Linked DNA regions of Caenorhabditis elegans. The protein of the gene in region 2 interacts with the protein of the main gene of each other region in a pairwise test. Each region holds a gene or a part of one and is shown on either strand. Other genes may lie near its edges.

Region 1 (9,720 bases), on a different chromosome or scaffold from region 2:
TCAAAACCCATTGGCACGTGGATTTGGTGACGATATTGCGTGGGTCAAGTGGGAAGATGCAATTGAGACTGCTTTGGATACTGATAAGCCAATCTTCTTGTTGATCCACAAGTCTTGGTGCCATGCTTGCAAAGGTAAGAGCGGCAGTTGAGAAAATTTAGGCAATTTCTTATAATACGTGTGGTATCACACTGTCCCATCACGGTTTGATCTACAAAAAATGCGGGAATTTTTTGCTCTAAAAATGCGACGTCAGCAGGTTCTTAATCATGCGAAATCATTTGAGAACTCTGCGACTCTTCTCCCGCATTTTTTGTAGATCTAGGTAGATCAAGCCGAAGTGAGACACCCTGACACCGCGTGATTGATTACATGCTTCACTAATAATTTGAAATTTAATCATTTTATTCAACAAGTTAGTCCAATAGAGCGCACATTCACATGTCCCTTCCCCACTGCAGCTTCGATTTTCTCTCCGGGTAACCGACCAAAGACAAGAAAGGAGAGGGATTTATTCATCCTTGACACACTTTTTTTTATTAATTCAAAGAATGGTGTCAGAACACCTTGTAAACCACAAAGCTTGTACATATAGTTTTCAAGGGAAAAATCGGGAAATTCAATTGATATTTTTCGAAAATTGCAAAAAAAAACGTGCAAAATTTTGAATTAAGAAAAATGCACATTTGTACAAATTTTGGGAAATTCAAAAATTTTCACGTGATGGGACCCGTGTGTGGGCGAACCACAGTTTAAATTTGATGTAAAATAATATTTATAATTTTTATGACTCAACATTTGAAACTTTAAACATAATTGTATTCGTTTAAAAATTTGTGAAAAAATTGAAAATTGGTTTTAAAAAATTTGAAGTTTAAATATTTCAAGTCCAGAAAATCCAATGCGAGAAAAAACCTCAAAATTTTTTTAAAAATTCCAAAAATTATATAAAAAATTATTTTAAAGCTTTCAAAAATTCAATAAAAATTCCAAACAAATTCCACTAATCTGAAAAAAGGATAAAATCTATTGGGGTCCTAAGCCTAAGTTTGAGCCTAAGTCTAAGTGTAAGGCTACGACTAAGCCTAAGCCCAAGCTGTAGCTTACGTCTAAGCCTAATTTTTAAATGTTTCAATTTCGAATTTTCAAATTTTCCAGCTCTCAAGAAGACCTTCCAACAATCCAACGCCAAGAAAGCCTTCAAAAAGCTCTCAGAGCACTTTGTAATGGTTAACACCGAAGACGACGACGAGCCATTCGAGGAGGAGTACCGTCCAGACGGAAAGTACATTCCACGTCTGCTTTTCCTCGACAAAAATGGAGATCTTCTTCAAGAATTCAAAAATAAGAAGGCCGAATACAAAAATTACGCGTATTACTACTCATCACCAGCTGATATCCTTAACTCTATGAAGGATGTGCTTAAACATTTTGGAGTTGACATTCCAGAGGCTAAGAGAGGTGATAAGCTTAAGCCAAAGAAGCCAGAGGGAAAGAAGAAGGAATTGTAAGAATAGAGATTGTTTTATTGATTTATTGATTGATTTTCAGCTAATTTATTTCTTATCATTTCTTTGCCAATCTTGTTAACTATTATTAATTATTATCACGAATAAACTGGTTCTCGATACGTCGGTTTTTACGAAAAATTTAAATTCGCGCCAAAAACCTTTTCGAAACCTCGAAAAAATTTTAAAAATCTTATGAAAATTGCATTTTGTGCCTGAAAATTTTTAGCCAATTTTTTAGAAAAAAAAAAAGTTTTAGGAAAATCTGTGACATTTTGAAAAATTCAGGAAAGTTTGAAATTCCAGCCAAAAAACTTTTGAAAACTAATTTTTTGAAAAAACTAATTTTTTGAAATTTTTGAATTTTGCATTCATTTGAAATTGACTTAGGCATAGGCTTAGGTCTAGGCTTAGGCTTAGTCTCAGGCTTAGGCTCAGGCCTACGCTTAGACGTAGGCTTAGGCTTTGGTTTAGGCTCAGGCTTTTTTCGGTGATTTTAGAAAATCTGAAAAGCTTTTTGAAGTTTAAATCTGAACAAAATTTTTTTTGTTTGAAAAAATTTATAATTTCATGAATTTTTGAATTTTGCTCTCGATAATTGTTTAATTTAAAAAAATTCAAAAAAAATTTGAATTTTGCCACAAAATAGGAGATTTAAAATACACCGCCCACATATTGGTTCAAATCTAAATCAAGGCTTTCATGGGAGGCAGGCGCGGTTTCAGGGCCTGACGCCTGTCTGCCCGCCTGCCTTCCGCCGCGGCCGACACTTTTCGGGTTCCGCACTATACAGAAGGCCCGAGGCAGGTGAAGGTCGCCGCAAGGTAGGCACACCAGGCCTTTTGGCGCCTACATGGAAGGATTAATCAAAACCAGTTTCCTAAGGGATTAAGAAACTTTCTCTCCTTCCCTATATTTGAGTAGTTATGTAAACATCCTCATATTCAGAATATGTCACGTCTCTTCTCCAATGTTCCGAATTATTTTCCTCTTATACATCGTCGGGTCATTTCTCTACCAGCAATATGAATTCGCAGTTTGAATTTCGAAATTTAGTTCTAAATTCCCAATTTCTTTGGATTTTTCTAATAAATCTTATCACCTCTGCCAATTCTGAAGCCCTAGCTTCTCCTTATCAGTATCTGAAGGATCTTTGCCCTGTTGGACAGCTTCCACTAACGGATACGGAGCACGTGAAGACGTGTGCAAGCTTATGTCCTCTTGGAGCATTTTGTCATAGGGGTATATGTTGTGTACCGCCACCGCAGTGCAGGCATCCGGCTTATAGGTGAGGAAATTTTTTTTTGAATTTTGTGTTAAACTTCGCAGATTATATATTGTTTTTTGAAAACAAATAATTTTATTTTACCGCCAAATTGTTTTTAAATGTTTTCAAATATTTAAAATTGGCGCCAATTTTTTTTGAAGTTTTTGGAATATTTAAGTTTGGCGCCAAAATTGTTTTGCAATTTTTAAATAATTTAATTTGACGTCACAATGTTTTAAAATTTTTAAAATATTTAAATCTGGCGCCACTTTTTAAAATTTTTTTTAAATATTTAAAATTGGCGCCAAATTTGTTTTGCAAGTTTTTAAATATTTAAATTTGGCGCCAACTTTTTTTGTTGATATTTTTGAATTATTTAAAATTGGCGCAAAAATTGTTCTGAAATTTTTTTAATATTTAAAATTGGCGCTAAATTTTTTTTGCAATTTCTAAAAAATTAAATTTAGCACCATTTTTTGAAATTTCTTTTAATATTTAAATTGGGCGCCAATTATTTTTGTTGATATTTTTGAAATATCTAAATTTGGCGAAAATTGAAATTTTAAAATTTCTGTCAAAATTATCAAAAAAAAAAATTATATCAAAAAAATTAAAACTTGAAGCTTGCCCCAACTATTTTAAAGATTCAAAAACTGAAAGTCGCGCCAAAGTTGCTAAAAATCTGAAATTTTGAATTTCGCGCCAAAAATATTTGAACTCAAACTTCAGGATGTCTACCGGCTTTCCATGTCTTCCAAAACGTAAGAATAACTGCCCAGATGGATCATTTTGTGTATCAAGTAGTCAGGATGGAATGTCGATATGCTGCTCAAACAGGAGCATTGAAAAGTTGGTGATTTTAAGCTCCGCCCACTTCTTGGTTTTCTGGGAGAAGAAGACCATTCTAAAATAAAAACTATAACTACAAATAAAATAAATCCATATTTTTACAGAAGTTTCCCGATAACATCACAATTAAAACTCTCCAAATCTGCACCGTTCCCAAAGGAAAAGCCGATGCAAAAATCCACGTCATCACTGATGACGTCACTAGACTCCTCCCAAATCTGTCCGAAATCCCATCCAATTATTGCACATGATGGGAAATCTCTGGTTTTGTGCAAGGATTGTGTTCAGGGGTTAGTTTTGGACTGCGTTTTAAAAATTAAAAAATTTATTTTTAAACGAAAATGTTACCTAAACTCGAAATTTACAATTTTTGCACCAAAAAACTGGAGAAAAATTTTTAGTGCCCAAAAAAATTATTTTTGAACATTTCAAATTTTTTTAGATTTTTCAGAAAGTTCACATAATATTGAAGATTTTGATTTTGTAAATTTGAACAAAAGCATAAAACTGTTTGTATCACAAATTAAATTTTTTTAACATTTGAACATTTTGGGTCCCACCACGATAAGTTTCAGAACCGATATTTTCCTGGAAACTGTTATAGAAAAAAAGTAAAAATTCAGATTTATTTCGGGGTACCCCGAATTCAAACAAAATATCATAATATGAAAAAAATTTTTAAATCAAACGTTAAATAATATTTCGAATTTTTGGGTCCCACCACAAAAGCTTTTTTGCCGAAAATTTTGTGAAAAAAATTGGCAAAATTGTATGTATGATGCTTTAAATTTAACATTTCAACTAATTTAAAAAAATTAAATTCGAAAATTTTTTTTTCAAATTCTATATTTTCAGAGTTTGCGCAAAATTCCGCACCAGTAACGTAGAGGTATGCTGTCAAAGTTCTGACGATATTTGTGGTGTTGGAAGTCAAATTTTGATGAATGGATTGGTGCCGAGGGACTGTAACAAGAAGCCATGTGGGATGGGGTAAGTGAATTTTACAGCTCAAGCCATGCTCTTAAAATAGCCAGGAGCTAATTTTTTTTGCTCGAAACTTTCCGAAAAACATCTAAAACTTGGAATCAATTTTTTGATTTTTTGAAAATTAAAGTTGAAATTTCACAAAAATTTTTAAACATTTTCAGAACTTCTAAACTAAAATTGCACCGCAAATTTCAAATTTCCAGCTACGAATGTTCGCTAACCCCGACGGGTCTTCGTGTATGTTGTTCGTTAGCCCAATGCCCGTCAGGAGTGTTTGCGAGAAGTGTGTGCGCAGCCGGATGTTTGAGAAATGAAAAGTGCATGGAAATTCAGAATGAGATGTGGTGTTGTCCATCCGAGGAATCATTCGGTTCAAGAATTGAGATGGTTTGTAGGAATGGGGAGAATGGGTAAGTTACTACATTGTACTGTAGTACTGTATACTGTATAGTGTACTGTTGGGGTACTGTAGCTCAGTTTCCGTTTGTCAAAAATTATCAAAAAATTTAATTCAGTGTTTATCATCCAGAAAATAGCCTTAATATACCGAGTATAACTGTAGAAAAATTTATGGAATTTCTCTAAATTTTTCTAAATTTTTAACGATTTTTTTTCAATTTTGCAAAAATATTTGATTTATAACACTAAAAACTATTCAAATGCCAGAAAATGGAGCCGTAATGACCAAATATATCTGGAAAATTTTTAAATAAATTTTCTAATTTTTTAAAATGATTTTTCGTCAATTTTTAAAAAATCTAAGAAACGGCCGAATTAAATTTGAATTCCCGCGCAAACCATATATTTCGGCCGTTTTTTAAATTGTTGAATAATTGAAAAATCATTTTAACAAATTCGAAATTTTTTTATTAGGTGCTTCTATTGAATTTTTCTACAGTTACATTCGGTATATTGAAACTATTTTATGTCATTTAGAGCAAAAAAAACTTCCAAAAATTTTATTTCCTCGAGTTTTTTTAAAATTTCAAATGTACTTGATTGTCTAGATTACTGTAGAAATGCTTATGACTCAATTACAAAAAAATCCCAGTATTGATTCTTATTCCAGAACCGGTGAAAAATGTGACCCAGCTTTTCCGGCGTGCTCACAAGGAGCATTTTGTGAGCTGAACAAGGAGAAGACCGCCCATATTTGCTGTAAGCGGTATAAAAATCGACGTGAGTATTTTATTGCTTAAACCTATAAAAACTAAAATTCAAGAAAAAAAAAAATTTCAGTCGGCAACAGCCGTAAAACCCTTCTACCCCCTCCATTCTACTACACTACAACTACTATGAAGGCTCCCATAACCATAGCCACAACTACTGCAGAACCATACCCTTTTGAATCTGTGTAGGTTGCTTAATTAAAGGCAAAGTAGCGCCAGAGGGGAAAGTGTTTAAAACTACTCCATTGGTGTCAAAATGATCGAATATCATTTTAAAAAATTTCAAAAAATTTTTGAAATTTTTTTATTTATTATCAAAAAGTGACAATTACTCAGTTTTTGCCACTCATAATTTTGGAAGTCAACCAAAAAAAAATTTTTTTCTACATTTTTTATACTGTAATTTTTTTTTAATTATTTGTATTAAAAAATTGTAGGGGTTGGAACATGCGAAATTGCTTTGGATTTCCTCAAAGGCTCATATTTTTCAAAATGTTTGCAATTTTCCAAAACTGACCGGGAATAATGAAAAATCTAAAAATTTTTGGACTGTTTGTTAATGATATTTGGTCATTTGAAATAATTTTAAGTGTATTTAGACACAATCCCCACTGGCGTTACTTTACTTTTAAACCATCAAAGGTATCTTAATCATATCTTAATATTTATTACAGTCCAAACTGCCAAGACCCTGAAGCCCGTCCACTCATGGAAAACGGCTTCCCATACATTTGTGATCATATCGGAGATCCGTGTATTCTTCGATCAGGATATTCGTGTCAAGAATCTGATATTGATGATGTCTATGTGTGTTGTACTATTCAAATGAACCGAATCCTTCCACCACAGATTCCAATGATTGGGCCATTTACGTTTATGACGTCATCAACTACTACAACTACTGAGAAGCCGATTGAAGAGGAAGAAGTGATTGCGCAGCCGACATGCCCATTTTCATATATGCCGTCGAAAAATGTTAATCAAGATGTGCAGCGTTGTCTATCACTGTTTACGTTGGAGTGAGTTCCAGAAAAATAAAAAATAAAAAATTTTTTTCGATTGTTTTTTGAAACTCTAAAAATCAGTATTATCTTATTATCTTTATCCAATTTTTTAAAATTTTTTTTTAAATCGGAATTAAAAAAATTCTAACATACATATATTGTTGAAAACGTTTAACGTTCAAAAATCGATATTTTAAAATAATTCCAGCTGCCCACTCGGCTACACGTGTCTACCATCTTCCACTACCGACAGTTATCTATGTTGTATTCGGAAGCCTGTGGTCTATTAGGCTTAATTATTGATTTTTGTTTTTTTTTTCGAATATTTGTGCCAATTCTATATTTTTTAAATATTTTTTTAGCTAATGAACATGTTTTCAAACAGTTTAATTTAAAAACAGCCTAATACAAAAACTTGGAAAACTAAGCCTAAGCCTAAGCCTAACCCTAAGCCTAAGCCTACACCTAAGACTACACCTAAGCCTAAGCCTAAGCCTATGCCCAAGTCTAAGACTAAGCCTAAGCCTAAGCCTAGGCCTAGGATAATGAGAGCATTTTCAGACTGCTCTATAAAGCCAAACAAAGATTTTGCAATAATTCATAACGCATTCGATTCACAATAACAAGTTCTTTAATAAAACTATAAAAATGTAAAAAGTTAGGAGTCAAATTTTTATTTATTTAACACTGAAAAATTGGAGTGTGTAGATAATGAGAGCATTTTCAGACTATGTTTTTTCAGAGCTGACGCCAAGCTTATGCCTAAGCCCAAGCCTACGCCTAAGCAAAAGCCATAATTCTGAAAATCTAAATTCAAATGTTAGCATCCAAGTCTGGGCTCAACGGTCCAAGCCTGAAAGCTTAAAAACCTAAAGCCTGAATATTTTTGCAAACATAAGTAAACTGAATTGAAGTTTTATCTGTGATGTACAGTTTTAATTGACAAGAAACATTGCAATCGGGATTAGTTTTTTTGAAAAACTGGATAATAAAAATGAGGGAAAATTAGTTGAAAACACAAGAAAATAATGACAGATTATGAAAAATTGGCAACGAATATAATAAGTTTGGTAAAATTATACGACTGGGGAGGAAGAAGCCGACGATTCTTCGGATGAAGAGGAGCTTGATGGTGACGTGGATGATTGTTTTGTAGTCTGGAAAGTATTAGTTTAGGTGGTTTGGTCAGGTTTAGAAATTTTTTTTTAAATTTAATTTGGTGCGAAATTTTATTTTTATTTTTCAGGCCAAATTTACGGCGCAAAATCGGTGTAGATTTTTTATTTTGAAATTTTTTTAAATTGCAATTTAACTTAATATGTAGGTATTTTAAGTACAAAAATAATCGAAAATTATTTTATTATTTTAAAAATTGAGTTCGTTTTCAGAAAATTAAAAAGTTCTCAGCAAAATTTTAAAATAACAACAAAAACTAACCTTGGAGAAATTTTCCGCTTCCTTTTGCAAATCCGCAAAAATATTGAGCACATTGGCGAAGAGCACCTTGTTCTTCGAAGCCTCCCGCATCTTTTGCTCCACAACATCCTGCTCCAACTCCTGAGCAGCGAGACGACGAAGCTTCTGGAGCAACAAGTTGACTGGGTACTGGTACTCATACCGTCCATCATACTGGCTCTTGACAATTTGCTCGGTACGGCATTCCCGGAATACTCGAATCGGGCAGTCGAGGAAGAGAAGACACTCCAGTGCATAGTACCGGTTGTGCTCTTTGAGCAAGTAGTCAGTGTATTTTCTGACTTGTTGAGCAGGGCTCAGTGGAGCTGGGACTCTTGGGAGAGCAGCATTGGAGACCGGCTTGGTGTGAGATGGCATTTAGAATGAGTTAAATAAAAGGTGAGAGAAGAACTGAGATATGTGGTTAAGAATGACACTAACCTAGACCTAACCCTGTAGGACGCTGCAATTTGGCAACAACAAAAAATCGATATATGGGCGGGGGGGAATGGGCTATGCAACGTGGCAATGGGAAAGCAGAAGGAAACAATGGTTATTGATTGGTTTACGATTGTGAATATATAAATTTGGTACATACGTACATTTTTGTTTGAGAAATAAGGGAGGGTTCTCCCTGAGGAACATGGAAAAAAGTTGTCAAAATTTAGGGGATTTCAGATTTTAGTTTTTAAAAATATTGGAATTTTCAGAAATTTTAATTGGATACTTTAATTCTAACGGAATGTTTAAAGAAGGAGTATTTAGAAAATTTGGAATTTGCATAAATTATTAGGTTGGTCAAAATGTCTTTGCAACTTTTTGAATTTTTTTTGGAGAGAGTATTTATTCAAAGCGAACGAGATTCAATGGGTAATATATTCACCATTAGTGTATATGACTTCTTGCCAACCCAACGAAGGTTGAGCAATACCCTCCGCACAGAACTCCTGAGATTAGGAGGCAAAGAAGTCGTCCCACCACGTTTCGACGATCTTTCAATCATGAAACTTCTGCCCGGTAAGGTGATTCTGGAGAGAGCGGAACAAATGGTAGTCAGTAGGAGTCAAGTCCGGCGAATGCGGTGGGTGAGACAAAACTTGGATTCCGAGTGTCTGGAGCTTCTGGCGGGTCCTCAAAGTTGTATGCGGTCTTGCGTTGTCATAGAGCAGCCTAAATTTTGATTCTCTAGGGTGATGTAATCGATGAGCACGGACCATCTTTTCCAATTGAATAGAGTATAGGCCAGCGTTGATTGTAACGGAGTCTGGAAAAAGTCCTCGGAAAATTACACCCTTACTGTCCCACCAAATTTAGAGAAGCACTTTTTCTCTTGAAGTTCCCCTTTGAGGTCAGGTTTCACGGTTTCCTCGACCGGGACCCACTGTTTCTTTCTGGTATAGTTAACATGCAATACCCATTTCTCATCTCCAGTAGTGATATCCTATACCCAGTCTGTTGTTCGTTTCCTAGTGAGCAGCGAA
Region 2 (5,767 bases):
GGTGAAATTTTGAATAACTTAGTAATAAATGGTAATAAAAACAATTAGAAAGAGAATACTCGGAGACTCTTATCCAATGAACACGTCACCAATGAACGAGCATTTTCTCCGAATCTAACTCCAGTGACTGGTCCAGAATGATCAGAAAGTGATACAACTTCACTCCAGCTCTTCACATGCAAAACTTGAACTTTTTGGCCACCAATTCCTAGGAATGTTCCAGTCATGTCGAAGGACAGGGAGTTGATCTGAAAAAATTATATTTTTTCATTAAACATTTGCTTAACAATTTCTTACCGGTTGTTTCTCTTCGTTAGCGAAAGTTTTCAGATTCTTCAATTTTCTAAGATCCCATAATTTGACCTCTCCATCCTCTGATCCCGTAGCCAAATAATATCCGTTTTCAGAAAACGCAATCGAACGAACGGCAGCAGTATGTCCCGGGAATGCAGCAGCCACGGTTTGATTCTTCAAATCCCAAATCTTCACAACGGCATCCGCAGCTCCAGTTCCAAAAATAAGACCATCAGGATGGAACTCGATGGAATGAACGGCAATTTGTGATCCTGGTTCAACTGAAACCTTGCAAAGCGATTTTCCGGAACGAATGTCGGAGAATGCCCAGTAAGAATCATCAGAAGCGGAGAGAATGTAATCACCGGATGCATTGAGGGAGATATCTGTAAAACATTGTTTGTTCAATAGAAGAATTACAGCTAGCGAATTTTTTTCAAATATCTCACCTGTAACGGGTGCCTGATGGACATCAATAATAGCCTTCGAAGACGAATCAGTTGCACTCCAGACTCTAATATGTGAATCAGCAGAAGCAGAGATTGCAGTAATATTATCCGGATGCAAAACAACTGCGTTGATCTTCTTGTTATGCCCCTTGAATGTTTGCATAACCTGTTCCTTTTCATAGTCATACAAGACAACGGTTTTATCAATTCCTCCGGTAAGTGACAAATTTCCCTTGATATCCAATGCAGTAATTCCAGGAGTTCCAGTCGAATGAATTCCAGTGTGAGATGCTGTCTGTTTCAGCTCGGCGAGCTCTTCTGTTTTGGCAAGTCCTTCAGGAAGATTTTTTCCTCGTTGTTTACGTTCAGCAGTCAGACTCTTTGATTTCTCTTCAAGTTTTGCCAGAATTGCCTCACTAAGACCTTGTTGATCTTCAGACTCGTCAATGCTGACATCATCGTCAACTTTCGCCGATGTGTGTGGTTTCAAAGTAGACAATGCTTCTCTAGCAGCGGTCAATTCTTTGGAGAGGCGGGAAATAACACGACAAGCGGCATCGTGTTGGTACAGAGAGTGAGAAAGTTCTTGACGAGCAATTTGGAGTTGTTGTCGGAGAGAGAAGCTGTTGAGCATTACTGTATCCCACTCGTCTTGAAGCATTTTTAGTAGAGATGGGATGGATGTTCCAGAGACATTGCGTGGTGCTGATCCAGTGCCGCCACTTTTCAATGAAACGAGCTAAAAAATGAATTTTAGAAATTATTATTTTGTTTTTTCAATGAATTATCATTTCGAAGTTTCACGTCAGTGAAGATAATTGCAAGGTTGACAAACCTGGTCTTCAGAAAGCTCTCCATGGCTGATCGGATCTGTTCCGTTTTCGGCAATGAATTTAACGATCAGCCGACGATCAAAGATGTGCCCTGAGACTTGAGAGACGACTGGGTCTTCGGTCAGTTCACCACTGATTCCGCACACGAAAGACATCTCCTGAAAGTAGCAAAATATACACGAAACCGCTTGATTGACGTGGGACATAAACGAAGAAAGTTTCAATGCGAATTTTGTAGGATAATTACATTTATCGAACGAGTGGTCAATAAATACGTACTCTGGCTAGTGACTAATCGAACGGCGCATTGGATCAAATGTTTTAAACTTGTCTTTAAAAGAAAATCTAGAATTTTAACCAGTTTTTCATGAAAAAATGCAAGTTTTCAAGTCAAAGGAATTCGAGACACCACGGTTTCAAGATCTGATGGGATCCCGGATCTACGTTTTCCGGATCTACCATTTCCGGATCTACGTTTTCCGGATCTACGTTTTCCGGATCTGGCACCGTGCCAACGCACAAAACGCTTTTCAACGCACGACTTTTTTCGAAATTTTCTTCTAGAAGAAACGCTTAAGAACACGCGACGCGTAACATCGCAGCGTCGTTGTCACTTTTTTCTTCGAAAAAATAGCGTTTTAAGAGTTGGCACGGTGCCAGATCCGGAAAACGTAGATCCGGAAAACGTAGATCCGGATATGGTAGATCCGGAAAACGGAGAATCCCACCAGATCTTGAAACCGTGGTGTCTCAGGAATTCCATGCAATGAGAATTCGAAAAACTGCAGTGGAGCGTACTTGCTGCAGCTTTTCCGGGCGGGGCCGAAGAAATGTCGGCCATGAGACTGGGGAATAAAAACGATTTGAAAAAATAATTTGGATTTGAATTTTCTTCCCAAAAAATGCAAATCGGGGAATATGAGCTCACTTTCATCGATGTTGCGGTGTTTGTGGTGTTTCTCGTGGCTTTGAATAAAATTGTTAAAAGGATGCTTGTTGCAAAAATCAATGAGCCAGCGAAATATGAGGTAATTTGCAAATAAATCTTGGGATGTGAATTTTTGTTTCTCAGATCGAACAGCTCGAAGAGCGTGATATGACAATGGAAGAAATCGAAAGCATGCGCCGCGAGGAGAACAGGTGCCTGGTCATTGTGGAAGACAAAGTAATAAAATACTTTTCGGATTATCAAAAAAATAAGTTTATTTCAGATTTACGACCTCTCTGGCTCACAAGATCTCTATGACAACAACCGCGATCTTTTCGAGAGTAGTGAAGGATGTGGACCTGAATGGGCACCGATTTGTGCTAGGAAATATCCATTCGTCGGACACGTTTTGAAGAATTAATTAAAATCTCAGCGGGAGTTTGATCAAATTTCGGGTTGTTTAAGTTGTGTCAGTTACATCGTGTTTTTTTGTTGTTAAATAAAACGGTTATTTTTTTTCATACATTGCTTTTTACATCTCTTATTATTATAGGCTGAAACAACCTTCATTTTACTTTTGCCCGTTTTTTAGATGACTTTGATTCAAAAAACCACGTTTACAGATCAAGTATGGCTTTGATGTACCCATTCCACGTAGCACAACCTCCACTCAACTGGTCCGAGCACTTGTGGGTTTCCGAAGTCTCACCAGCAAAAGAGTCATTCATCACCACGATTTGTGAGCACCGTCAAGCTCAATGGGTACGTTTTTATTTCAAAATCACACTTTTCTGAAAAAGTACATTGTTGTTCATTCTAAATTTATTGCAGGATAATCAAGATCTTCTGCGTCACTTGCAAGACAGTGTGGCTATTCTGACTCGTGAAGATCAACGTCATGTGAACGCTGTCCATGCAGCAGCAAATATGCCTGCAAATCCTTGAATTCCCTATTCTACACCATATTTATCTGTAAATAAAACTCGATTTGGCATACCATTTTTTTTAATTATGGAATTCATTTCCGAGGTACTGACCTCGTTATTACCTAATTTAATATTTTGTTCTCAAATTATTCCAGATTTTATTCAATCGCTTCTTTTCAGTTTCATTGGGAAAGACGAACCGAATAATAGGTATTAATATTGTACTGTAATTATTAAAAAGAGTTGTGAGATGACCGATGAGCAAAGGTCTGGAAGTAGGCGGAGAGGAGGAGCCCTTGGAGGTGGAAGGGGAGGAAATAGCCAGAATAGTGGTGAGTTCATGACTAATCATTTTTAAAAATTCATACAATGAAGTATATTAGGCCCTTCGTATTGCTTAAAGATTGAGGTTTTACTGTTCTTAGTATTCAAAAATACCGTTGATTCACTCTCTACTATAACTTTTTCCTTATCAATCCTGAAGTTATTGAACAGTTTTAGCAGAAACGCCACTTTTATTTATTTATCAACTTTCTTATCAAACAAAGTGAAAACTTTATAGCAATTTTCGAACAGAGTGTTCTTCATTTTTTCTTAATTTTCATATTGAACTAACATTGAACTTACAGGCCGGAAAAGATCATCAAACAGTCCAGCTGATTCGGCTTCCTCCTCCCAAAAGACGAGCAGAAATCCATCGCAAAATCGTCCTCCAATGAACATCGTTCCTCAAAAAGTCACAATTCTGAAACGAAATCAGGATTCTCAGCCAACATCTCCAATAAATCGGAATGCGCCACCAGGACCCTTGGTTGCCGCTGTACAACCATTGATGGCTGTTGAATTGGGCGATTCGGGAGCTTCATTGAAAGGATGGAATTCAAATCCTACTACTCCAGAGAAAACAACGATTAATGTTGCTGGACGACAAGCAGAAGCCAACAAAAAACAGACGCAAGAGTATTATTTCTCCAAAAATGCCGGGTCAGCCGTGTCGGCTCAAACATTTCAAGAGACTGTCCAGTATCCAATGAGCTCATTTCCGTTGGAAAAGAATGTACCTATTCAAATTGATAACAATTTTACGGTTAGTTGTGAATAAAAAATTAAAATCATTCGCTGTATTCCAATAGAACAAAATTCGTACTTTAAACTTTAAAATAGCAAAAAAATGTATGAAATTAATTTTTAAAAGTCAAGTTTTTAGCTGTTGATTACTCCAACTACGAGCAAGTGCAATGGACTATTCATCAAAGTAAAATTACAACATGGAGATGACAATATCACAACTGGAGCTCTGTTGAAATTGGATGCAGATGAAAAGACGATCAGAAAATCTTGCAGGGAAACTATTGAGAATCTCTTGAAAGGTTTGAACTGAGTTTTCCGATTTCATTTCACTGTTTCTCAACAGTTTCAGCAAAGTCTTCATCCGACAGATTTCCATTCTCAAAGTGTTCTGAGGGATTTCTGACTTCTTGTTTGATCAAGAAACTTGTCGATCGTCTAGAAGCGTTCCCAGAGGCCATATACTATTGCGAAAAGTGCGATTATCATATTAATACAATCGGACACGCAAAAGCACACTTAGAGAGCAGTACACATTTTGATGATGTTAAGCGACAGGAACAACGGGAGCATCTTTTGAAAATTATTCCACCTCCGACTGAAGCACATTTAGAGAGTGTTGAAAAAGTTTTGGAAGGAACATTGAAATCGTATCAACAGGTTAGATTATCTTGAAACTGGATTGGAAAAAAACGAAATTAACGGAGGATAAATTGTGATTTTTCTCTAAAAAGCTGAAATTCAGAAATAAAATTTCGTTTTTTCTATCCGGTTTCGATCATTTTTCTCTCAACTAACCCTTCTCTCGTCAAGTATTTTCAGGTTCGTCAAAATGGAATCGAGATCGGTGAAACAATCATCTATTACTTGAGTACTACAGTATTCCCATCGATTGGATTGCAAGATGTGATACTTCGACCATTTGGATCTGTAACATATGACGTCACACTTCCGGATAGTGATTACAATGTGGCATATACTATGTCAATTCCTGAAGGAACTCCAATATTTGCATTACTTGAACAAGTTCGAAAGAAGATTGCCGATGATGGACATCCAGCTGATCATTCCATGGAAATGGGAACACCGTCAACAATTATATTTACATTCAAAGGAGTTCGAGTTAAACTTTGTTGGATGTCATGTTTCAATCATCGTATACAACTTCATTTTTCTGAATTGATGAAGACCTATGTAAATTTACGAGAGGAAGTTGCTCAATTTCTTCAACTTATTCGTCTTTGGGCAACGAAAGCTGGCCTTGACTCC

The links. The genes of interacting proteins can lie anywhere in the genome.
Region 1: the proteins of emb-1 (region 2) and Y57A10A.24 interact in a two-hybrid assay, tested with the Caenorhabditis elegans proteins (one large-scale study listed by BioGRID).

What each region holds. Positions count from the first base shown.
Region 1 is NC_003280.10:12,240,462-12,250,181, forward strand, and holds Y57A10A.24 (EB domain-containing protein), read left to right. Parts: upstream 1-2,484; 5' UTR 2,485-2,533; coding exon 2,534-2,796; intron 2,797-3,504; coding exon 3,505-3,624; intron 3,625-3,728; coding exon 3,729-3,914; intron 3,915-4,479; coding exon 4,480-4,614; intron 4,615-4,814; coding exon 4,815-5,021; intron 5,022-5,680; coding exon 5,681-5,790; intron 5,791-5,850; coding exon 5,851-5,965; intron 5,966-6,454; coding exon 6,455-6,799; intron 6,800-6,992; coding exon 6,993-7,074; 3' UTR 7,075-7,168; downstream 7,169-9,720. Other genes in the region: txdc-12.1 (Thioredoxin domain-containing protein), read left to right, coding at 1-134, 1,159-1,511; tag-276 (uncharacterized protein), read right to left, coding at 7,861-7,941, 8,222-8,617.
Region 2 is NC_003281.10:5,170,312-5,176,078, forward strand, and holds emb-1 (Anaphase-promoting complex subunit emb-1), read left to right. Parts: upstream 1-3,127; 5' UTR 3,128-3,134; coding exon 3,135-3,266; intron 3,267-3,335; coding exon 3,336-3,449; 3' UTR 3,450-3,498; downstream 3,499-5,767. Other genes in the region: prp-19 (Pre-mRNA-processing factor 19), read right to left, coding at 45-248, 298-680, 744-1,482, 1,579-1,731; K10D2.5 (uncharacterized protein), read left to right, coding at 2,479-2,604, 2,649-2,741, 2,788-2,925; cid-1 (4Fe-4S ferredoxin-type domain-containing protein), read left to right, coding at 3,681-3,762, 4,060-4,517, 4,638-4,800, 4,851-5,158, 5,321-5,767. UniProt on the Caenorhabditis elegans protein: Probable component of the anaphase promoting complex/cyclosome (APC/C), a cell cycle-regulated E3 ubiquitin ligase that controls progression through mitosis and the G1 phase of the cell cycle.